Oryzias latipes: one gene and its partner. The protein of the gene in region 2 interacts with the protein of the main gene of each other region in a pairwise test. Links are inferred from orthologs where the notes say so. Each region holds a gene or a part of one and is shown on either strand. Other genes may lie near its edges.

What was found.
Region 1: the proteins of cep63 (region 2) and snrnp70 interact in binary tests that used the Homo sapiens proteins (3 or more experiments, as listed by UniProt). The link is inferred for Oryzias latipes from reciprocal best matches to the Homo sapiens genes CEP63 and SNRNP70.

Annotation. Positions count from the first base shown.
Region 1 is NC_019866.2:24,779,865-24,784,106, forward strand, and holds the start of snrnp70 (U1 small nuclear ribonucleoprotein 70 kDa), read left to right. Parts: upstream 1-1,432; 5' UTR 1,433-1,637; intron 1,638-1,997; 5' UTR 1,998-2,003; coding exon 2,004-2,150; intron 2,151-2,224; coding exon 2,225-2,287; intron 2,288-3,411; coding exon 3,412-3,466; intron 3,467-3,548; coding exon 3,549-3,613; intron 3,614-3,680; coding exon 3,681-3,743; intron 3,744-3,967; coding exon 3,968-4,049; intron 4,050-4,242. UniProt on the Homo sapiens protein: Component of the spliceosomal U1 snRNP, which is essential for recognition of the pre-mRNA 5' splice-site and the subsequent assembly of the spliceosome. SNRNP70 binds to the loop I region of U1-snRNA.
Region 2 is NC_019862.2:2,679,616-2,683,127, forward strand, and holds part of cep63 (centrosomal protein of 63 kDa), read right to left. Parts: intron 2,494-3,512; coding exon 2,350-2,493; intron 1,916-2,349; coding exon 1,813-1,915; intron 1,730-1,812; coding exon 1,586-1,729; intron 1,432-1,585; coding exon 1,345-1,431; intron 1,253-1,344; coding exon 1,113-1,252; intron 1,050-1,112; coding exon 719-1,049; intron 651-718; coding exon 459-650; 3' UTR 1-458. UniProt on the Homo sapiens protein: Required for normal spindle assembly.

The sequences.
Region 1 (4,242 bases), on a different chromosome or scaffold from region 2:
TCAGTCCAGTTTTCATACAGTCAGTTGTTCATAGGTAGATAGGTTGGTTGGTTGATTGATTGATTTGGTTTGGTTTCTTTCAAGTATTAATTGTAGTCAATACAAGAGAAAAATCACACGGATGTATCAAACTCCTTACAGAGATAATCAACTGCATAGATTCAAACAAACAAACAAACAGAAACAAAGACACACTTAAGACACATTTAAATATAGTGATTATTAACTAAATAGTCAAGTAGAAAGTGATTTAGTGCTAGGAAAAAAAGGAGTTGGAAAAAGCAAATTCATATAATCTCACTCCTATTGAGTTATTTTGTGTGAGAGTTTTGCAGTTTTGGATGATAACGCTCCACCACATGCTGCCAGAATGATCACAACCAGTCTCTAGGCTCATATGGTCTGACCAGCAATGACCCTTGACCTGAACCCCATAGAGCAGGTCTGGGACCAGCTGAAGCAGAGACTCTTTTGTAATAAAATTAAGGGTATTATATTAGTTTAATCTGTGTTCCCCCACACTTCAATACAAAATGTAAAGTACGGTAAAACCAAAGAGCAATATAACACATGCACACTCTGACATGGTAAAATATACTTGGATTTGTTCAAAACAAAAAGGGTCTTGGTTACTTTATTTTTTACATAAAATATGAGATTTCCATGTTCATTTGTCATCCAACATAACCCCTAAAATTTAAATTCAGACACCTGCTCTATATTTATGTTGTCAATGGATAAAGCCACTTCTGTTTTTTCTTTATTACCAAATACCATAAACTTTGTTTTTGTTAATTATAATCAAACCACATTTTAAGTTTCATTTCCTTTTTAACACTTTTAAGTTAGGGTTTTAGATTATCCCTGAACAGAGAAATTTGTCTTCATGTCCAAATAAAACAAACTGCAACAACTTAGAAATACCCCAAACATTTATAATTGAACCTTGTGGAAGTCCACAAATAATATTCATGAGATCAGACTTATTACCTCCAAACTGCACATACTGTATTGTCTGTTTTGTAAATAACTGGTGGGCGATTGCTCTAACCCCATACGCATGCAGTTTAGAAATCGAGATAGAATGATCTATGGTGTCAAATTCCTTCTTTAAATCAATGATAACTTTTAATGTATTTTTCTTTTTGTCAATTGCTGTTGAAATTTCTTCAACTACTTTCATTGTAGCAAAACCTGTAGACCTATTAGAACCAAACCCATAGTGATTCTCACTTAACAAGTTATTTATTTTTTTAACAAAAAAATAAACTTTTAACAATGTCAAAGGAAACTTATATTTATTTCAATAAAATTCAGAGCAAAATGGGAAAAATCACATGGAAATCACATTGTCAATAATAAACTCATTGGACGGCGTCCTGACGTCATCACGTAAGTTACGTCAAAAGACGTACGTTCACGCGGCGGTCCCCCCCGCCATTTTATATTTTCAACAGGCCGAGCAGCCGCAGTACGCAGCCAGCTATCTCCACGTTGTTTTCAGCTCCATTTCCAGCATTTTTATCTTCACGGAGTCTCTTTTTGGCGGTTCTACGTTGAGCCACCGAACCCGCGGACAGTCCCGCTCCTCCTTCAGGTCCATGAACTAAAAGCTGCTGGACTCTGGAGGAGAGAAGGTGAGTGTAAGGGCGCAGTTAGTGGTTAGCTCCATGCTAACGGGAGCGCTACATCCCACGAGCGGAGCAGACGCCTCCGGCTGCCTCCGGACGGCCAAACTCTTAACTTGTACGCAGACCATAACGTGTACTACTGTGGGAGGGGGTTCCTGATGTTCTACTTCTGGATGCATGAAATGCGTTGAACGCGTCCCCCGTCCTGTGGGGAAGTGAACAATAAGCGCGTGAAGCTAGCTAGCTAGTACGGGTATTACGGCTAGCTAGCTAGCTAGCTAGCTGCCCTGACAGCTAGTTTCGCTGCTTCATTGTGTTGCGGCAGATCCGTGTCTGATATCATGCATGTTTTCCTTATCGATCAAGTGAAAGATGACGCAGTTCCTCCCGCCGAACCTGTTGGCCCTGTTCGCCCCCCGGGACCCGATTCCGTTCCTGCCTCAGCTGGAGAAGCTGCCCCACGAGAAGCATCACAACCAGCCGTACAGCGGCATCGCCCCCTTCATCAGACACTTCGAGGTGAGCGTCGCTGTCACGTGCGAGCCTCCGTCCCCCCGATGCCTCTGTCTCACCTTCCTACTGTTTCCCACCAGGATCCTAGAGATGCCCCCCCACCAACCAGAGCCGAGACCCGCGAGGAACGCCTGGAGAGAAAGGTGAGTTTCCTCCCCCCTTTGCACATGTGCTCAAATACAGAACCTGATGGATAAATAAACGGTTTATCTCTGCTTTCATCCAGAAGATTTCATATTTGCGTTTGTTTTGCTTTATGGCAGCTGGCAGTAGCACAGATTCTGTCACATCAACCCAATGAATCATGGGAGATGTAGTAAACTCTGTGACACTGATGCAAATCTCCGGGCTTCATTATTGGATGCACTTTTTACACGGTCTGACACCGGATCCTGCTTGAAGCTACACTTCCACCATTGTTAGCTGGTATTTTGTCAGGGTGAGGAACTGGGGGTGTTTTACAAACTTTTTCCAAAATAAGAGCCATTGGCCTAAGTTGCTGCACAGTAGTGGTGCAGACATTTTTTTTAATCAAAGTGTCTTAAATAGGAAGTAAAAGTCTTCTGTGATCTGTAGTACTCCCAACTGAAACCTGGGCGTATTTCGATGAACGTAGAGCTAATATTCTGGCGATGGAAAATGTTTTTTTTTTTAGAACAAATAGGTGAAATTGAGTAATTTCTCATGGCACACTCAACCATCTCTTTACTATATAAACCTCTAACCTGATCCTGTCTGTGCTGCAGCGTCCACCAGTCGTTACTGTTTGGATCTCTGATTGTGCTGCGTAGATAACGATGGAAGGCATGTATACAGAAAATTAGGATTAAAATTGCATTTGTTAGTATTGTTGTTTGAGAAACTCAACGCCTGGATAGCTCCTTTATCGCTCGCCATTTTTGTTGCACAGATAATGTTATGTTGGGGTTGTAACGTTTCAGTTGAGCGTCTTGAGCCATAAAGGAAATTTATTTGTGAACTTGTGAATTGACTGAAGCAGGAGTTTGGCTGTGAAGCACAGACCTAATGAATGCAGATTCTCAAAGGAGGGGTAGTTGAATTACAGTCCTAACTCCTTCATTCAGCATTTTCTGCCTCGGTGAAAACCTCTCAAGTCTATAGAAATATTATACCAGGCAGGAGCCCAGCACAGGTGCATGCTGGCAGCAGACAAGAAACCAAGTGCGGGATTATGTCAGCTCTGTGCTGATGCTCTGCTGTTGGAGGCTCTGCGGTTGGCCGTCACCATTTTCTTTTCTGTTTCCAGAGGAGAGAGAAGATTGAGAGGCGACAGGGAGAAGTGGAGACAGAACTGAAGCTCTGTGAGTTTGTCACTTTCTTCACGCCGTTCTCCTCAAACGGTGAAAAGCTTTGTGCTCATCCTTCCTGTTTGTTCCATGTCAGGGGACCCCCATAATGACCCCAATGCTCAGGGGGATGCCTTCAAGACTCTGTTTGTGGCACGAGTGGTGAGTATTTGTCTTGGTTCTTCTCACTCCTTGTTCACATCTGGTAATTAAAACCTTTTTGTTTCAGAATTATGATACGACAGAGTCCAAACTTCGCCGTGAGTTTGAAGTCTATGGCCCCATTAAACGGGTAGCTATTGATTATTATTTTTCTGTGTCCAGATTTTCTTCAAAACATGAACCCTTTTGTCTTTACAATGTGAGAAAATTCTCCTGGCTCTTCAAAATACTATAAAAAAAAGTAAAGAGCCGTGCGTGAAGCGTTTTGGCGCCGCTTTGTGCGTGTCGTCGTGCGCTGACTGCATGTCTGCTGCCTCCGCTCTGCCGAGTCTCACCAGGAGTTTTTCTTTTCAGATTTACATCGTCTACAACAAGGGAACAGGGAAGCCCCGCGGCTACGCCTTCATAGAGTATGAGCACGAGCGAGACATGCACTGTGAGTACGGCTGAGGCATCGGCCACCAAAGCCAGTCTGTGTTGGTGTGTGTGGATCAGAGCACTGCTCGTCACTGATGCTTCTGTAAGGAGACCAGCAAACTGAGCTCTGCTCACCAGATCCATGTCTGCTGCTCGTCTGACGTGTGTGTGTGTGTGTGTGGGGGGGGGGGTCTGCTCGATGTGTCGCCGGT
Region 2 (3,512 bases):
GCACAGAAAAGCTGGGGGGCTTCAGTGGGGGGGGTAGCAACAGGAAGGATGGAGGCTCTCCTGAAAGCTCTGATCCATGCAGCATCCTGAGAGCTTTCAGAAGCTAAAGTTTGTTCTTTTCGTGAGCAAAATGCCAGAATCTGCCGTTTGGCTACACCATGTCTTCTCTAAGCCCTTAAAGACTACGAGAACAGTTCTTCAAATCACCATGGAAACCAGCGAACCACGAGGAGCATCCAGGTTCTTTAGATCACATTTAGAAGTTTCTTTTTCTGACAGAAACGTCATGGCTTGCACATTTCTTCCTCCTGAAGAGATGATGTGAGAATGAAATAAACTGAAGCGTTTATGTCATTTTGCTGTTCTGCAGTGAAGATGGCGTTCCTGAAAGCGTTCCCCAGGAGGCCCTCGTGTCGAGACATGATTTCCGCCTCTGTCAGAATGTTGCCCCCCTGTCATTAGACAGGGGTCCGCTCGCTGGACGTCTGCTCCCACTCCGGCCTGACGCCACGGTCCACGTACTTGGACACGGTTCTGTGGTTGATCTCCCTCATTCCCAGGATGTGGGCGTCCAGCCTCTGCAGCAGCTCCTTGGACCTGAAGCTCTCCTCCTCCAGGAAATGTGACAGTGTGCCGTGTGACGAAAGCTCCTGAGGGGCAAAAACCTGTGAGGATCCTAAAAACACCAGAGCTGGTTCAACATTCTGAGAAGTCTCACCTCTGAAGTAGGAGACAGAGTTCTTCTTTCTCTAGATGCTGAGCTTAGACAGTTTCCAGGACTTATGCTTTGCCTGTCTTCAACAAATTCACCAGGACTTGATGACGGGATTGAGATTCTTCTAGTCAGTCCAGCACTGGTGCTGCTGGAGGAGGAGGAGGAGGAGGAGGAGGAAGCAGGAGGCCTGTAGTCTTGGTCCTGGCTGCAGTGCTGCTCTCTGGGGGACATAGATAAAGCATGCAGCTCTTTAAAAAGCCTCTGGATCTCCCCCTCACGGTGAGTGGTGCATTCTGGGGCCTCGGCTCTCACGGCCTGCGTGTCTATCTGAAGCCTGGGAGAACAGGGTTTGTTAGTCTGGAGCTGTGAGTAGACATCATCGACGGCCATCTCCCACCTGGCAGGAGCAGCCAAGCACGTCTGCTCCGAGGCATGATGCCGAGGGTCCGTTTGTTCCGACTGTCCATCCTCCTCTTCAGGCCTGCCTCTGGAGGCCGTGTGCTTCTCCCCCAGTGAAGCTGCTGGGGCCTCTCCCCTCTGAGGATACAGAAGTGCACATTTACGACTGGATCACCGGAGACGCTCCAGAGACGCTGTCCTCTGCGTCGGGGACGCCTGAACCATGCGACCTTTGGTGAAGAAGGCTGCCGTCTCTGCAGCAGGTCACGAAGATGCTGGTTCTCCTTCTGCAGAGTCTCCAGCTGGGTCCAAGTCATCTGACAAACGGATATAGAAAATGTGAGGAGAAACCATCCAATGTCTGAGCAACCCAGACCCAGATCAAGAGAAATGCTTCATGCAAGAAGCAACTTCCTGCTCAGGAACAAACTGAGACGTCATTGCTGCACAGCAGTCAGAGGTCAAGCTCACTCTGAGCTCTGCTCGCTCCCCGCTCAGCGTGGCGATCCTCAGATCACGCTGGTGCAGCTCGCCGGTCATCTTTGCAACCTCCGCCCTCATCCCCTCAACCTCAGCGGCGTGGGTCTGCCTGGCCAGTTCAAGCTCCTCCCTCAGCTGCAGTGGACGACAGTGAGGTAAACAGGCATGACGGCCACAGATGAACAACAAACAGGTTTAGCTTGACTGAGACTTTGGACCTTTTTCATTTCAGCAACTGAAGAGTCAACCTGTGCTTTGAGGCCGGCCACTTCCTGCTCCGTCTCTGAGCGATCAGCTCTGCCTCTGCTCACAGCCTGCAGCCTGCAGGAACAACTCAGATGAATAATGTGAAGAAAACAGCAGCCAGACAACACGTGTCTGATTCCAGACGTCTGCTTCACTGTAAAGACGGTTTGTCAGCAGCTTTGTCCATGCTGGATGTCTGCGGTGCTGAGAGTGAACATCCAGAAGTCAGCAGCGTGGAGGTTTCCATGATGGGCTGCACAAAATCCTCATCTGCTCCAAAAGAATCTGACAGAAACCTCATTTCAACAGCTGGTTTAGCTGCTTCTAGAAAGAGCAAAAATCCACTGGTCTTGGTTTTCTCTCTAAACGGATAACTTCTTCCTGGATCCGGATGTAAAGAGGATTTCACCGGAACTTTTTCCTCATTTCCAGAAGTCTTTGTGTTTTTTGTAGAAACCATCTGCAGTCCAGGTGGACACGGTGGAGTCGGCAGTACTGGCAGCATTTACCTCTCTCTGGTGCGTTTAAGCTCCGCCTTGAGGTGAGCCTCGCAGGCCCGGGAACACTGCAGCTGGACTGCAGACTTCTCCAGATCTCCTCTGAGGTTTTCCACTCCAGCCAGGCCCTGAGCCGACAGGCAGTCCTCCAGAGAGCTGACACACAAAAGCCCAGCAACCGTTACCAACATGGAGCCGTTCTACCGAGTCAGACGACTGTTTCTAGAGAACGCTGTGCACACTTTGAAAAAGAAGTACAACATTTTGACATGTCTGTTTTAAATCCAACTTCTCTTTCATTTGAATATTACATCATTTAGAAGAATGTCAGGAAAACCCAGACGGCTCTGCAATGAGAACAATCACTGAGGAGCAGCTTTTCTTCTTTCCCTTCACTTCATTCATGTTCTGTAAACGTAGATCAGTGATCGTCTGTGATCGCCACCAACCTTCCTGTGGCAGCAGTGATGTCATCAGCACAAGACGAGGAGTTTATTAACAATACAAAACATTTAGGGTGTGTGGAGAAAACAGAACAACTCATGTTATACGCCAGCAAAAGTATCCAGATACAGAAAGAAAGTTTAGTTTTCTGATTCTGCTGACAGTTTTTTTTAACTCCCGATAGTCGGCTGCTAGTCAGCTGCTAGTCGGCTGCTAGTCAGCTGCTAGTCAGCTGCTAGTCAGCTGCTAGTCAGCTGCTAGTCAGCTGCTAGTCAGCTGCTAGTTAGCTGCTAGTTAGCTGCTAGTTAGCCTTCTTTCGCTGCTCATTTTGTTTTGTTCCATCCTTCTCTTTTTTTTCATAGATAAGTGGCATTCCTGCTGCTCCCTTCTGGGTCTGAAACGATCTGCGGTGCATTGTTTACTCGATCAGCTGTTGTTGCCTAGCAACGGCAAAATGTGTCTGGAGATCCCCGTTATTATGATCTGCTTTTTCTCTACAGAGCTATGGTTACAAGAGAATTTCCCCGTTCTGGGATCAGGAACATTCTAAAAAGTTCTTTTCCATTTTAGTCTCATAACTGAGTTTCAGAACACTTATCGATGTATCGATGTTTCGTGACTTCATGTTTACGCCTGTGACCCCGTGACCTACTTTTGACAGAAAAGTCGTATTCAAGCCAGACGTGTTAAACGTAAAACTAAATGTAATACGATTTTTTTGCAAAGTTGGG